Linked DNA regions of Drosophila melanogaster. Changing the gene in region 1 together with any one later gene gives a genetic interaction. Each region holds a gene or a part of one and is shown in the gene's direction. Other genes may lie near its edges.

Region 1 (4,659 bases):
TCATGAAGTATCACTTAAGCAAATATTCTGAACTTCCTAATGGCTCTGGATTTAAAATCTTTGCCTTTATTAGTTCTACCCAAGTTAACAACTTTCTTAGGAAGCGATTTGCAGTGAAAGTCTTTAGTGCCATGAACAATGGATTTGCCAAGTTAAACGAGAGAACCTTTTATATATTTAAGCAATTTCCATGTCCGAAGTGCATGCCTTAATTTATATATTACCACACACAGGCTTAATTCACTTAAGCGCCTTTTCGTGTCGGCACCTAAAAGCTTTGAATGGGAAGAACATCCGAATCAGAATCCAAATCACCATCAGTCGCCGCGTTTTGTGGGTGCCCAGAAGTTGCCCAACTTCAAGCTGGCATAACAGATACAGGGATGCGGATGCACATACAGATACGGATACTCGAAAGACTCGGTAGCTCGGATTAATTAAAACTGAAAATTGCAGTGGCGTCTGGTGGGGAAATGTGTGTGCTGCTTTTAAAAAACCTGCAATTAGCAGCGAAAAATCTCCGGTTCTGGTAATTTGATCCAAGTCCTCGAAACTTGACCCACATTTTGTGGGCATACGGATGATACGCTAATGAAGGGAATTTCATTTCACTTATTTTTGCGGCCTGCCAGTCCAAAAAAAAATGCCTCCCCCTTCTTTTTCACCCCGTCGTTTATTTTTACGACGCTTTCGCTTAAGCGCTGGCATTTAATGTGAAATTTATCATTTCAACGCCACGCCCCCCACCCCACGCCCAACCAACAATTTGTCGGCCTTGGTCGGATTTTTTATTGCGTTCACATTTCTCCGAGGCGAAAAGTGATATGTTCATTTTTTCAGCCTTTAAAGTTCCTGCTGGTTGCTGGTCGGCGCTTTTAAAATGAGTGTTCCTTTGCCACATGCATTTTTTTAGAGCCACAACTTTTAACCACAACCTGTCTGCACGTCGGTTGCTCGGGGGTGGCAATCACTGGCCAACTGCAAAAAATGCATTTCAAACAGGAGATTTTCCCATTGGTTTGAGCATAAAGTTTTCTGTCAAAGGATTTTTCTGAAATAACGTACTTATGAACAAGATCAGTCGGGGAGAAAGTTGAGGTACATTTCGAAAGCCATTAAAATTTTTAAGTATTAATCTCCTGTGACTCTCATAAAAAGAAATTTGTGTAAAGTAAAACCGAAAATATGTGAAATTTTAAAATATTTAAAAATATAGGAGCAAACCTTTTGAATACCGATATAAATTCATATGATTAATATCCCAACTGCAAATGTCCTCGAAATAATAATGTTTGTTGCTTTTGATGTGTAATTGACTTTGGTCCTAACTTTTGAATTACGCGCCATTTGGAATAAATTGCTCAACTGACCTTAACGCGTTTTTGGTGATGTGCACTCCAGTATCGATTGCTTTTCAATGTCGATGACAGTCATTAAAATATATTATGATTACGTTAGTAAGAAAGCTGAGCACTGATTACTACGTTACTTATGGAAACCCCTTTGTAAAATGATAATGAATTTATAATATGCAAGAATAACATGGTGCGAAAGTCATTTCATCGTCATCGATAGTAGTGAGACCATCGATAAGCATCGATAGCGGATGTGTTTTCGCATCACCCGCGCAGCTAGGGATTTTTTCGACAGTTTCGGATTTTTTTTCGGTCGTCGAGGTCGTTGCGCGCATGTATACTCTTTAGTGGCGAGAAAACGCGTTTGCCAATAGTAAAATCCATCGCAAAGAGGTAGAAAATTAAAATAAGTGCAGCCAAAATCGAAAATAAATGAAAAAGGCACTCAAATAATACATACAGCCGCTGAAAATGTGTTTTAAATAGAACTGCAGCTGCAAGTCCTGATGCCTGCCGAAGGTTAGAGCGAGACAACGCTACTTACTCGAGTGTGTGTGCGCAATTTGTTGATAGTATTTTCTGTTGTTGTAAAAATGCCCCGCTTGCAAGCGTGCAATAACAGCAACAACAAGACCTGAAACAACAACAATAGGCGGCGAATGCCGGCAAAACAAAAACGCGTAAACGATTGATGCGAATAGCGTAAAACAAGAGAATCGAAAGCAATAATCGCCCAAGAATACACAACAAAAGTGGAGTGAGTAAAAGTCGCGTGTGAGTGTTTGCGTCGCGTGTATGTGTGGGTGCAAAGGATACAAATAGAAGGCGCAATCGGCGATTGGCGGGTATCAAGAGCCAAAATGTTGTAAACAAATCGCAAAAGTCCAAATAAACCTGAGCCATTCGAATTACCTCCGATCGCAAACGACGGTTTCCAGCCAAATCAGCGAAAAGCAAACAGAATATGGCCATCACAACAAACAGAAGCAGCAGGACTTTGTGGAACTGGCTGCTCAGCAGTTGTCTCATATTCCAGCTGATTGGCAGCAGTTTGGCAAGTCAAGGTGAGAACTTCAATCTGAAATGATAAATATTTTGCACCAAAGTGCCGTAAGAGGGCTTTATAAAAATGTAGATAGTTTCTATCTTTCGCTGTGCAGGTTGTCAATTTATAATTTTAAACCAAAGACCCATGAAATCCAAGCTTAGTTGCTTACACAGAAAGACATTATCAAATTGTGTACATATATAGATTATTAAAGAGATTATAAAAGATATAAAAAAAATTTTATGAACATGTGATTGAACTTTAATTCTTGGGCTGCGCCTTAATTGCCTTCTGACAGGAGGAAATAATCTAAAACAGTGTATAAATTCGGTAGATTAGATGAGTTTATATCACTTCAATAAATATTACGATTAAATAGTACGAATAGATGAACTACGTGGTTTGTCAGCCCAGTAATTTTTAGTTCACTACACTCATCCACCATATTTTATGACACTATCTGTTACTTTACTCTTCGTACAATTCCCTATCTATGTTGTGTATTCGGGTACCATAAAGTTCGATATCTGTATTTTAACAAATATGAATGCAAGTACAGTTTTGGCGACTGGATGTCTGGTCGACGTGCCAGAAAGCAGGCATTGGGACCCACAAAAAAAAAAAAGCCTCATGTGCGAAAGGTGATGTCAACGGCGAACTGATCCGATAAGCTGTCATATTTCGCAACTCGCGCTCTTTTTGCACTCGTAAAATTGAGGTACTTTCAAAAACCCTGCCCTATTCCATCCACATGTGCCAATCACCCGGGGTAATTCACCGTAATTGCTTCCCATCATATCACCTGCAGATAAGAACTCAAAATGGGATGGTTGCGAAACCGATAGTGCTTCAAAACTTAAACATTACTAATGAGCTTCGCTTGAAACGAGATAAACTAAACACTGCACAACATGAATTGAAAACCAACGCACTTGTTTGCGATTATTTGAGCCAAAACAAACACGATTTCCTGTGAAAAAGTATTCTGAAATCGAAGAAATAGAATCCAACAAAATGGTAGCCGTAAGAGTCATTATCATTAGCTCAAAGCCAGGGAACAAGTGATCTTAGGGGATCAGGTAGGTAAGCGCAGGTAGAACCAGTGCAGCCCAAAATGCAATTAGGTTTTAGGATCAGGCACAGTTTCAGTTTTAGGTCCCAGAAGAAGATTACCCAAGATCGGTGGGCAGCTGCACAATGCATCAATTGATTGATTTGGTTTGAAAACTAAGCCAGGGGTGGCTTAGAGGCTTATCATATTTCCATTTTCGGCTGGAGAAATAAACAATCGCGTAAAATGAGGGAGGGATAATGGAAATCCCCGCAAAAGGCGCAAATAATGCAAACAAATTAAATGTCCTGCCGTGAATCTCGTCTCTGCGCCATCTTCGAAACGAGAAAGAAAAGCCACCCCTAAAAGTGAAAAGTGTCCTGGAAAAACGGGGAGCCGCCTTATCAGCTGCAAAATTTATCAACGCCAGCTCCAAGACAGCCCGAAAAAGGACCCCAAAAAAAGTGCGGTCGTAAAAAATTGTCGGGGCATGTCATATGCAAATGGAATGAAAAATCTTTGAACAAATTTTTAGGTCATGGCATGTCATAAGTCGCAGGACTTAATGCCAGATTTAATTAAAAGCATTCCCTCACATAACTTCAAGCTTTATGTGGTGGGTATGTAATTAAAAAAAAAAGAAAACAACTTTACTTACATGGGTGTAACTAGCTGAAAAGAATTGTGTGACAACAATGGACTCACGTGGCTTCACGACCACTTAGTACCGTATAATAATGCATCAATTAAGGTTGATAAGATACTATGAAAGTAAGACAAAGTTAGACATTTCCGTGTTAGTTAAATTAAATTATAGAAAAGCATTTTAATAATTTATTTTGATCTTTAGATCTATGTGGCCTTAAGACACCCTTGTGGTTTTTTCTATCTTGCTAAACAAACTAGTTGATTTTATAGAAGGATCCTACTTATACCGTGTACGAAAAACTCACGTGCGAGGTCCTGTTCCCATTTTCGTGCTTATTTGTGGCGCTCTGTGTTTTCACTTTCCTGGTCATATTTCCTCGCTCTTTAGCCCGTGAATTGTGGCAATTGTTTGATGTTGTCCTGGGCGAGTCGCCTCACCCTGGCGTTCACTGGCTTTTTCCCGTGGCCAGGAGCACATTTAGCCGCATTACGTGATACAATATATGAGTGACATGTTATTCTAATTTCGCACCCCTTTTCATATTCCTGGACACATT
Region 2 (4,951 bases), 6.5 Mb from region 1:
CGCATATTGAGTTTCGGTTAATTAAAATGTTCAATAATATGATTGTTGAGAGCGATTTGAGAAGACTCAAATAAATATTTTAACAATTAAAGAAAAGTTATGATACCACAGTTTGCAAATAAATGGGTCCGATTTTCCAAATAATTATAATTTCAGCTCATATGCAGCGAATTTAGTATTTTTTGAACCTCCGTATTCATTATTCATTAATAATTCAAGCCATCCTTTATTTTACTCCCGTTGCCACTATAGGCTGCAATTGTTATTGAACATGACATCAGAAAATGTCGTTGAACCCACGAAGAGAAGGCAATTGTTTTAGAGAGCCACATGCAAGAGCCGTGTCGGCATTTATTCATATTTCCCTGTGTTCATGCGTGGTGAAGTTCCGATTTAGTTGAGCGTTCTTCTTTCGGCTCAGGTGAAGTGTGTGTGTGTGTAGACAAATCATTCGAGTTTGTGGCAAGTCAATAATACTCAATAGAAGGCAATTGTTTTAATAATTTGTCAGTAGCTAAAAAAAAACATAAGTGACAACAGACTCGGTCGTCGCTCTCCAGGAAGGTCGAACGACTACATTTTAATTGACTCAGTGATATAGTGTTAATTTTTAGCTGATACGTCCGATAAAGACTACATATACTAACGGTGAACGTGTTGATGTTATAGGAATTTGAATTAGCGTAAAATTGCACAGGAAGCAAATATTCACCTAGTCTGGCTGGGCATTAATTGACTCGTAATTTACGTAGAGGTAAATACACACATTTCAATCAGATTAGGACAGTAGAAGGAGACGAAATCGCATTTTGTCGATACAGTTTGGTGTGTGGCTAGATTTGATTTCAGTTATACGACCTGTAAGCTGTGACTTTGTGCTGTAATATTGTAAAAGTTAATTTAAAATGAAAAAAGAATATACTGCTAAGTTAGATAACCGTATACTTCAGTGATATTGGCCATACTGCCTAACGTTTTTATAAAAGTGTCCTTTTATTTATTTATTTTGCATTACACAACCCGTTAAAGTTAACATTTAACACTTTCTGTTTACTTTTTATTTCCAGGTAAGTCCCAATATTTCAGTATTTAAGGGTTTTGTGGTCAGGGAAACGGAGAATCTGAGCCATCGACGTAAACACATGTGTTTATATGTGCACATGAATTTCTATTTACATAAGGGAGCTCAGGAACACTCATATTTGGTCAAGTGTTAAATCAAAGTGACTAACGACTATGTTTATAGATTTTGCCCTCCGACTTTTCGCAAAATATCCCCAGGTATTCGTTAATATATTCTTAATATTAAATGGTATGTCCAGGCGCGAGTCCCCACTGCGAGTCCCTTCTGGATTGGATACTAGCCATTAGTATTCCCACGATGTAGACTCTAATATTTTCTATTTCAGCAATGTTCCATAGCATACCTTATCAATGACGAGTTCAATGGCGTTCACAAGAACCCAAGCGGAGACATTTAGAAACAAATAATTTGATTTCCAGTGACGCGACAGTGCTGAGTTATTTTGGTTACGTGAACAAATTAATACAACCTGACATTTTGTCAGTAACAGCGACGAGTTAATTGTTTTCAACTCGATTTGATCTTTGCAATCAACGCACTTTGTGACTAATTGTTGTCGTAATTACAAAACTGTGCAGTTTATCTCGGAGCATCTTAAGAGAGAGGCACTTGGAGACGAAGAGCGAGACCACTCTTCGACGAGCCATTGGACTTCTGGGCCAAGATAAAAGAGACTAAGCACACAAAGATGGATCGAAGAGCGAGAGAGCGGGAACGGTTGGCCAACACGCGGGCAGCGAGCTTGGCTCAAATGGCACACACATAGATGCCAAGGCGGCGGGTGCGAGTGTGTCGGTGCGGTGGCAAGCGGTTAAAACCTTTCTATAAAAATTTCATAAACGTATCAGTTGTCTGCGAAGCGGTGCACAAAACGGACGTGTAAACGGAAGCCGCACGAAAACGGCTCGGAAATCGGAATAGCGCCCGTACACGCAGCACATAGGAAATCGAATCCGAATCTGAGTTAAATGCCTTAATCGAATTTGGCCAAAGCTCGCCTACCGCGCTTACAAGTTTTTTCGTTCACGGGCCGATGAAATCTATATAATCTATTATCCACAAGCCACCACAGAGCCACTAGATGCACTGTGCGGCGCATGCGCGACCTGTTTGTGTTGTTGGCATACTTCTAACAGTCAGTGTTTTCTTTGTTCAAAAGTGCCTCAAGTAAAACCCCACTTTGATATGGATAAGTGGTAACAAGAGCAGCAGTAGCAGCAAAACTGGAAAAGGTACAAGCCCAGGGAAGCTGCAGTGTGCGGAACATTCCTCTGGTGGATCCGAACTCAGAAAAAGATGGGAACAGAACTTTCTATTTTCTTTACTGTTTCGCGTGTGTTTCGCTGGTCATGCAAACATATTTTCTTTGCCTCGGCGCATGCCGCTGGAATTAGAACGGTGTATTCCGTGCGGAATACAAAGTCGAGCTTATTTCGTAAGAGAATTCCTGCGAATCTGGTTATGCAATGCCTGACAGCCCACAAAGTCGTCCTCAAGTTGTTGCGAACTTTATCGTTTACTATGTGCTAAAATGCACAACTGGCTTGCCAAACGGGTGATACATTTTTGTAAGTGCTAAAGCGCTCAGTTCCGTGCACATGAACTTTCTTATACACTGCTGTGCACTTCCACGGCGTTTTTTTTTTTCAGACACCATACCAGGCCTCAGAAATCATATCAATTTCGACTTACGTGACTTGGGCAAACTGCGCCATTTCGCACATATTCTTTGCGTTTAGGCTAAGATTTAAGTTGGCTCTCAGGCTTGGAATTAGCGGAGTTTAGGGCCTTCTTTTATATCGCTTTTCAGCCTTCTCTTGCTGCACTGTGCCGTGGTCGTAAATTTCCTGCGTCATGAGTCATGCCTGTCAGTCGGAGTCGCTTAACAACAGCAGTGGTAGCAGAAAAAAGATAAAGATACAGATACAAAATATTCAGTTGAAAAACACATGAAAATTGCTTTCATGGTATTGAGTGTGGAGCTCCAGATGAGCTAAAGAGAGGCAAAAAAGCTCATTGTTTATGGTAGCTGGCTTCGTGGTCCGCTCTTTGTTGTTGGCATTCCGAGCTGTAACCTCTGATTGTGATCCCTTCGAATTACTCCTTTCAGTTCATTGGTTCTCTCTTCAGCTCCTGCCACTTAAGCTATTAACTGTGGACCGTGCACTTTCCCAAAAACCTCTTATACATACGCTGACGATACTTTGTTTTCAGTTAGAATAAATAAATACAGTAAGGGAATAAAATAAATGTGGTTTTTAAAGCATATATGTGCAATCTCGGAGTCACGTTCCTACTGGAATATTTGCGTCGTCCTTGCACTTCTCTTTTTTGAGTAACGGGTATTTGTTAGTCAAAGAACTCGCTTTGGTGTTTTCTCTTGTTTTTTTAAGAGTGTTGGCGCCACAAAATATTTGATGAATGTGAAGGACGTTCAATTTCTTTTAGTTTCTCTCTTAAAAAAACAATTTTTTTATTAAATTAAGTACACGAATGTCGCGGATATTAATATATATGAAAAGTTCGACATATCGAATAAATTCGAATTCCATGAGTGGAAGGGAACTAAGTCTCGTCACCATTGTGCAATGACCTAAATCACGGTCATAAAATCAAAGCCAAACTTTTTTTTACCATAAGTTTTGTTGTGTTGGTTGAGGTTGTCGGTCAATGGCTATGTTTTTGCTGGCCAAATAGCTTACTTTTGATTTCCACATTAATGGAGCGCAGCAAGCGAATCACAATGTTATTTGCATTAAATTTTTTTGGAGTCACGGAGAAAGTACGCACAAAAGCTATAAATTAGACGGCATCACACAGCTTCTTAATTCCTATCGCTCTCTTGCAATGATTCACTTTTTTTTGGCTACGCAACGTAGACTCGCTCACAGATTTGGCTGAAAACCATCATGTCGAATGGCAACAGAAAGAGTTAGTGTTTGATTTTCGAGGTTTACTAGTTGTGGATTGGCGCACTAGAAGGAAATAACAAAAAAGCAGACAAACATAAAAAACGTTAAACCGGTTCAATTTGGGTCGTAGTACCTTTGAGTGCAATTGTTACCTTTCAGAAACAACGACAACAAAGACTTCGCCAATCGCACTCCATTCCACTCGCTCTGCAGCTCATTATACCCGTTATTATGTTCGTCTTGTTCAGTTTTCTTGGCACGCGTTACCGTAAAAAAAAAAAACTCCCACACAAGCAACCGAAAACACATCGAGCGATATTTTGTAATGACCATGCTTCGAATCGGTTACCATAGGTCAGTCAACAAGTTCGGTGTGAGTTGAGCTTTTATTCAGGGATAAACGCACCGTAGTCTTTTTGTTCATACTCGGTTAGTAACAAAAACTATACAAATCTTTAAAACACTCGAACAATTTTGGTCTTTTTGTACAACTTAACGTATGTAAGAATGTGTAAAATATTGTAAAACACAACGATTTTCTACTAATGTTTTTAAAACATTTTAAAGATATTTTTAAAATATCATATACCGATTCCTCTGAAGTCCACCTACGGCTGTCTAATTCGCTAGATGTTGACTGTAAAAGGTACAGGGTTTTAAAATTGTTTCAATAAAGCAAAATGTTCCCGGATATGTTTCGATCAAGAATATATATATATATATACATTTTATATATACTTTTCAACGAATCTAATTTCCGCTTTTTATCTTCAACTACAGGAATAAAAATATAATTTCTTGGTACACGACAGTATTAGTCCTTGACGTCCGACTCGTGACAAAAACTGCTAAAAGATATAGATTACTATATGCATCAGAGCTTTCAATAGCCTTTCGAAAACAAGACGGGTTCAACTGGTTTTATACAACGTCGTTGCTGTTATGGTTATTGTTG
Region 3 (4,810 bases), on another chromosome or scaffold:
TAGTATTTGCTTATACAACCAAGTTACATTTTTCAGAGAACAAATAATTTCTCTTCACATCAAAAACAACACGAAGCTTTGATTGTTGCAATCACTCTTAGTACTCGAATATCAATAGTGTTATCGAGGAACATTTGGCAAATTAAGATAAACATACTCAGAATTCCCTAAAACTTGAGGCGTACTTGTGCTAACTTGGCTAACGATGCAAATGTTGTTATCAAGCAGTTTACAACATAAATACTCTAATTATTTATGTGCATAAGTAAAAGTGGGGCAACAGTCTGCAGCAAATGCAACAGCAACAATAACAATGGCACAATGCAATCAAACAATCAGAGACAAGCTCGCTGAACTGAAATGCCAATTGTGAAAATTGTAAATAAATATTTTAACAGACGACGGCAACAACAAGAAGTCGGGAAACTACAATAAATCAGATCATATCGGCGGCCAACTGCTGCGGTTTCAGTTGTGGTAAATATATATATATAGACATATATAGCTATATATGGCAGATCCAGCAGCAGAGCAGCCCTACAAGCGTGGAAGGCATGGGGCAGGAAAAACTGTGAAAAGCTGAAAGAAAAATCGCAAAAAGCAAACGACACAGCGACAACGATGACAATGCTGATAATGGCCCAAGGAGAAGGTGCGGAGGAGCGGCAGCATTATGGTATCCAAAAGAATAGCCTGGAAACCTCAGAAATTTACGCTCAAGCGAAGCGAGCTGAACCAAACTAAGTTGAGGTGAAGCTGTTGCTAAAAGGAAAATGACAATAACAGCTGCAGTTCCAGCGCCCTGTGTGAGAGCCCAGTAATGACAAAAAACTAACTAGCACACTGAAAAAAATGGATAACTTAGCCATAAAGTTCTCGGACATAAAAAATTATTGGGAGCTGGTTGATGAATAAGTACATTTTATTATCTGTGCATATTGATTTACAGCCTTTTCCAATATACGAAAAAACAAACAACAATGTATTTGTGATTTTGTGAAATATGTTTATTATTATTTTGTTTATTATATAAATTAGAAATTATACAGTTTTCTTAATCTTTATGTATTAAAAATGATTGCCTTAATTATCACTTAGGCTCACGTTAAAATATTCTATCAGTGTAAAAAAAAGCGAGGCATTAAGTACCGAACCGTTAAGAAGTCATTCGAAGTTGGATAGACCAAAAAAAGCTGAGGCGTCTCTAAGCCGCCCTGCGAGTGAGCGAGACCGCAGTAGGTGGTAATTTCTGGAGTAAACAGAGCGAATTCAGAGCTAAGTCCGAAAACAAAACTTCGAGTGAGAGCAGTGAGAGCTGCAATCGTAATTGCGCTGGGCTAGAGAGTAAAAGTCTTTGAGCAAACGAGAGCGTCGAGTAGCGAAAGTTAAAGCCGAATCGTAGAGCAGAGATCAAAAGATCTGTCAGATCTAAATAACAGAAAGAACATCCGAAAACCCAAATCTTTCGGGGAAGTGTGTCATCAAAAAATCGATAATAAAATAATTTTGTGCTTTTCTTACTCTCTCGTTTCCTCATAAGTTCAATGCACAATGAAAAAACAGTTATTTTTGGACAATAAATCAACGGCAACAACAGACTAAAGATTCTAAGCACAAATAAAAAAAAACAACGGCCAGAGTCGAAAGACTCAGGCAACGAACTGCGATCATCGGAGATGAAAATAGAGAGAGAGAGAGAGAGCGCGCGCGATCTGCTTCGTTTTTGCTTTTCGAACTCAGAGCGGCGGACTTTTCGAACTCCAAGCTGTCCGGCAGCTGAAACTTTTGGTCATTCGTCAGTTAACCGTCGTGCAGCTCGAAACGCGACGCGATCTGTTGGATATATGCAATCCAACGGTGATATATAAACACGATTCTTCTTCGCCGAAGAACGAACGTTTTGTGTGTGTTTGTGCAGGTGTTAGTGCGCGGTGTGCGTGTTACCATTTGCATTTTGGCTTTTTAGCTTTTAACTCGCTTTTTTCGTTCCATTTCGCCGCGTTGCATTTGCTCGGCGATTGCATTTCTCGGTTTCTTCGCTTTTGGATCGGCTTTCGTTATTTTTGGTTGAGGCCTTAAAATAGCCTTTGCCGTAATTACTGGGCTGGCCGCAAGAAAACGTGTTTGTGTCTAAACTACAGTTACAACCAGAGCAGCCGTCGCAGCTGCATTTCACTCGAATGTGCTTGCCGAAAAGTAGAAAATATAATAAATAAGAAAGAAAGAAGAGAGTGCTCGCTATATAGAAGGAAAAACGTCACTCGGTGTATACGTTCTTCTTCTATTTGTTCGCCTGTTAACATTGTGCTCATAATTTATTGTACCCAGCGATATGCAAATAGAAAGCAACAAATTTGTACAGCAAGTGGAATATTTCAACGTTTAATTTGGGCCCCGAAGAAACCCAAAAAGGTAAGGCAAATGCATTCTAATAAACGAGAAAATAATATAATGCCAACAAACTATAGATATTATCCCCCCCAATGAGCATAAAGCTAATGAGGTAAATTGTGAAAACATCTGAACTGCTTAGAACTTGATTTGGTTAATATATTCATTAGTATACATTTCTCCCGCTGACGATTTGCATATCAGTTGTCTTCGGTCGCAGGTTCATAACTTCTGCTTCTGTTTTGGCTGGCTAAGAAAGCTTCGGTTAGATCATCGCATCTCACGTTTTTCACCGCCGAATAGATCGATATTCCTGCCTCACTGCGAACCCCTAAATAACACTTGCTGCACGATTGAACTTTAAACCGCATTCTTGGCCCGTCTGCTGCCTGGTTTTCTGTTTTTCTTGGCTCTCTCGGTCGGACGCATCTATCACAGATCGGTGAGTGGTGGCCAATTTTCAATGGATCGATGCTGCCTCGCTCCGTGGGAACTCTTGACTCTTGAGCCCCAGAGTTCGGGCCTGGCATTTTGCGGCACACATTTTAGCCCTGGCTAGCTAGCAAAAACAGAGCCAAAAACAGGCTTACAGAACAGGAATTTCCACTCCTACAACAAATCCGCGGACAATTGACATTTTTGTGTAATTGCCACATTTGTTGTTGTAATTTTGGTTTTTTTTTTCGAATTTTCGCAGATTATTGCCTTTTAATAGTGAATTCGTCGGGCTTAGTTCAAATTTAGCAATTTACATATTTAAATGCATTGTTAATAGCCATTGGAAAACATATTAAGTAAATAATAAAACATTTGGCATTTTGCTTTTATATATTTATTTATTGAATAATTTTCTTAAGAAATCTTCATGTTCAATGATTTTTAATCGTCAACAATTAAGGAAACTAGTAAATTTAAAATTGCAATAGATTAAGTTAAACTTAAACGAAGATCTCCGGTCCGAAGATGTCCATCTTGGAGAACTCTCCTGTGGAGGATCGAGGTTTCGGTGGAGTGCATGGCGCCTTGACACTCACAACGGGGGCGGATGTGTTGGCACTAGCATCGACTTTGTTGACGGAGGAGGAGCGTTTGCGTCGCATGTTCTTGAGCTGATCGCGCAGCTGCTCCTTGTAGACGAGCTCCCTCTTGCAGGCCCTCAGATCCTCCATGCTGCAGTGCTTCATGTGGCGGATGGTGCGGGACACCAGTCCATCGATTATGTGAATCTTGGTGCGGGACAGCCGCGTGGGTTCCGCATGACGGCGGGTCAGCTCGCTCTGGTACTGAAAAAGTAGATAGCCCACGCTCGGACGAGCTCCGCGTCGGTGGTTGGCGTTGTTACGTTGGGCTTCCATTTCAGATAGAATAGCTCCTTTGTTGTTTTTTTTTGTATAGACTTCAAAATGCTGGCTGCGACAGGACAAGCTGTGACTGCTTGGCAGCTTGAGCTGTGAATGATGTCCCTACGTGGTTTACCAGGATTATTTATATCTGGGGCGCTTAGCTACCTGTTGACCCGCCGACTGACCTGCTGACTTGTACGAGTCGCGTAATTACCTGAAGTGCTCCGGTAAAACCAGAGATCCTTCCTCCCTTTTTTGATCCCTTGCCAAGTTGACATCTCAGGCCAAAGATACTGTACATCTTCCTTGCACACATGTGGGTAGTGCTCACCTTGCGCGGCATTTGCTGGGGTGGAAATGGTTTATGGCTTGACCTTTTGCTTTAAGATATTTCAGTTGAGCTGGCGCTGAATAAATATGGGGATAAGGAAAAGATTAAAACGGTGACTAAGTGTCTGAGGATTGCGTTCAAATCGTTTTAAGCTTAGATTAGATAACTGGTGGAAAAGTTATCAATGAAATAAATAAAATTTAAGGTAGCAGAAATGCAGCTGAATGAAATTTAAGTAAAAACCCACAAAAATATTTAAAATTAAAATATTTATGTTAAAGTGGTTATGAAGTTTAAAGATATTTTCATATGTTGTTTCATTAACAATTAAATGAAATATATCATTTTGATTTTTTAATTCATTTACGAATAATAAATTGTAAAAAATTAATTTACTCTATGAAATGTAATAACTTTTCTGAAGTCACATGCTTGTTTTTATTGCTTAAGGATTACGCTCAAATTGTACGAAAGTTTGCCTTTTAAGTCCAATCCCACTGCAACTAAATAAATTCCCTCTCAACTCTCGGCAAATGAAAATCATTTATATTTAATGAGTTGCCATGAAGTGATAAATATAATCCCAAAGTGGCACTCGTCTACTCTTACTCCTGTTTTTTTTTTGTGCCCGACAACCAACCCACTTGTGAAGGACTGCGTGTTAAATATTTATTTATGAACGAATGTCTGCGACCTTGTCTTAACCCCCTTGGTCATAAAAGCGATTTACTGTGGGCTGGTTAGA

Evidence for each region. Genes that interact genetically often act in the same process or in processes that back each other up.
Region 2: of fra (region 1) and Src42A, changing one suppresses a phenotype caused by changing the other (phenotypic suppression), as found in Drosophila melanogaster (one study listed by BioGRID).
Region 3: of fra (region 1) and RhoGEF64C, changing one enhances a phenotype caused by changing the other (phenotypic enhancement), as found in Drosophila melanogaster (one study listed by BioGRID).

The regions. Positions count from the first base shown.
Region 1 is NT_033778.4:12,527,408-12,532,066, forward strand, and holds the start of fra (frazzled), read left to right. Parts: upstream 1-1,645; 5' UTR 1,646-2,319; coding exon 2,320-2,419; intron 2,420-4,659.
Region 2 is NT_033778.4:5,991,062-5,996,012, forward strand, and holds the start of Src42A (Src oncogene at 42A), read left to right. Parts: upstream 1-1,930; 5' UTR 1,931-2,316; intron 2,317-4,951. UniProt on the Drosophila melanogaster protein: Required directly or indirectly for the phosphorylation of drpr which is necessary for the interaction of drpr with shark and subsequent glial phagocytic activity.
Region 3 is NT_037436.4:4,690,994-4,695,803, forward strand, and holds the start of RhoGEF64C (Rho guanine nucleotide exchange factor at 64C), read left to right. Parts: upstream 1-1,789; 5' UTR 1,790-2,412; intron 2,413-3,211; exon of another isoform or gene 3,212-3,329; coding exon of another isoform or gene 3,330-3,746; exon of another isoform or gene 3,747-3,852; intron 3,853-4,810. Other genes in the region: CG15876 (uncharacterized protein), read right to left, coding at 3,330-3,746.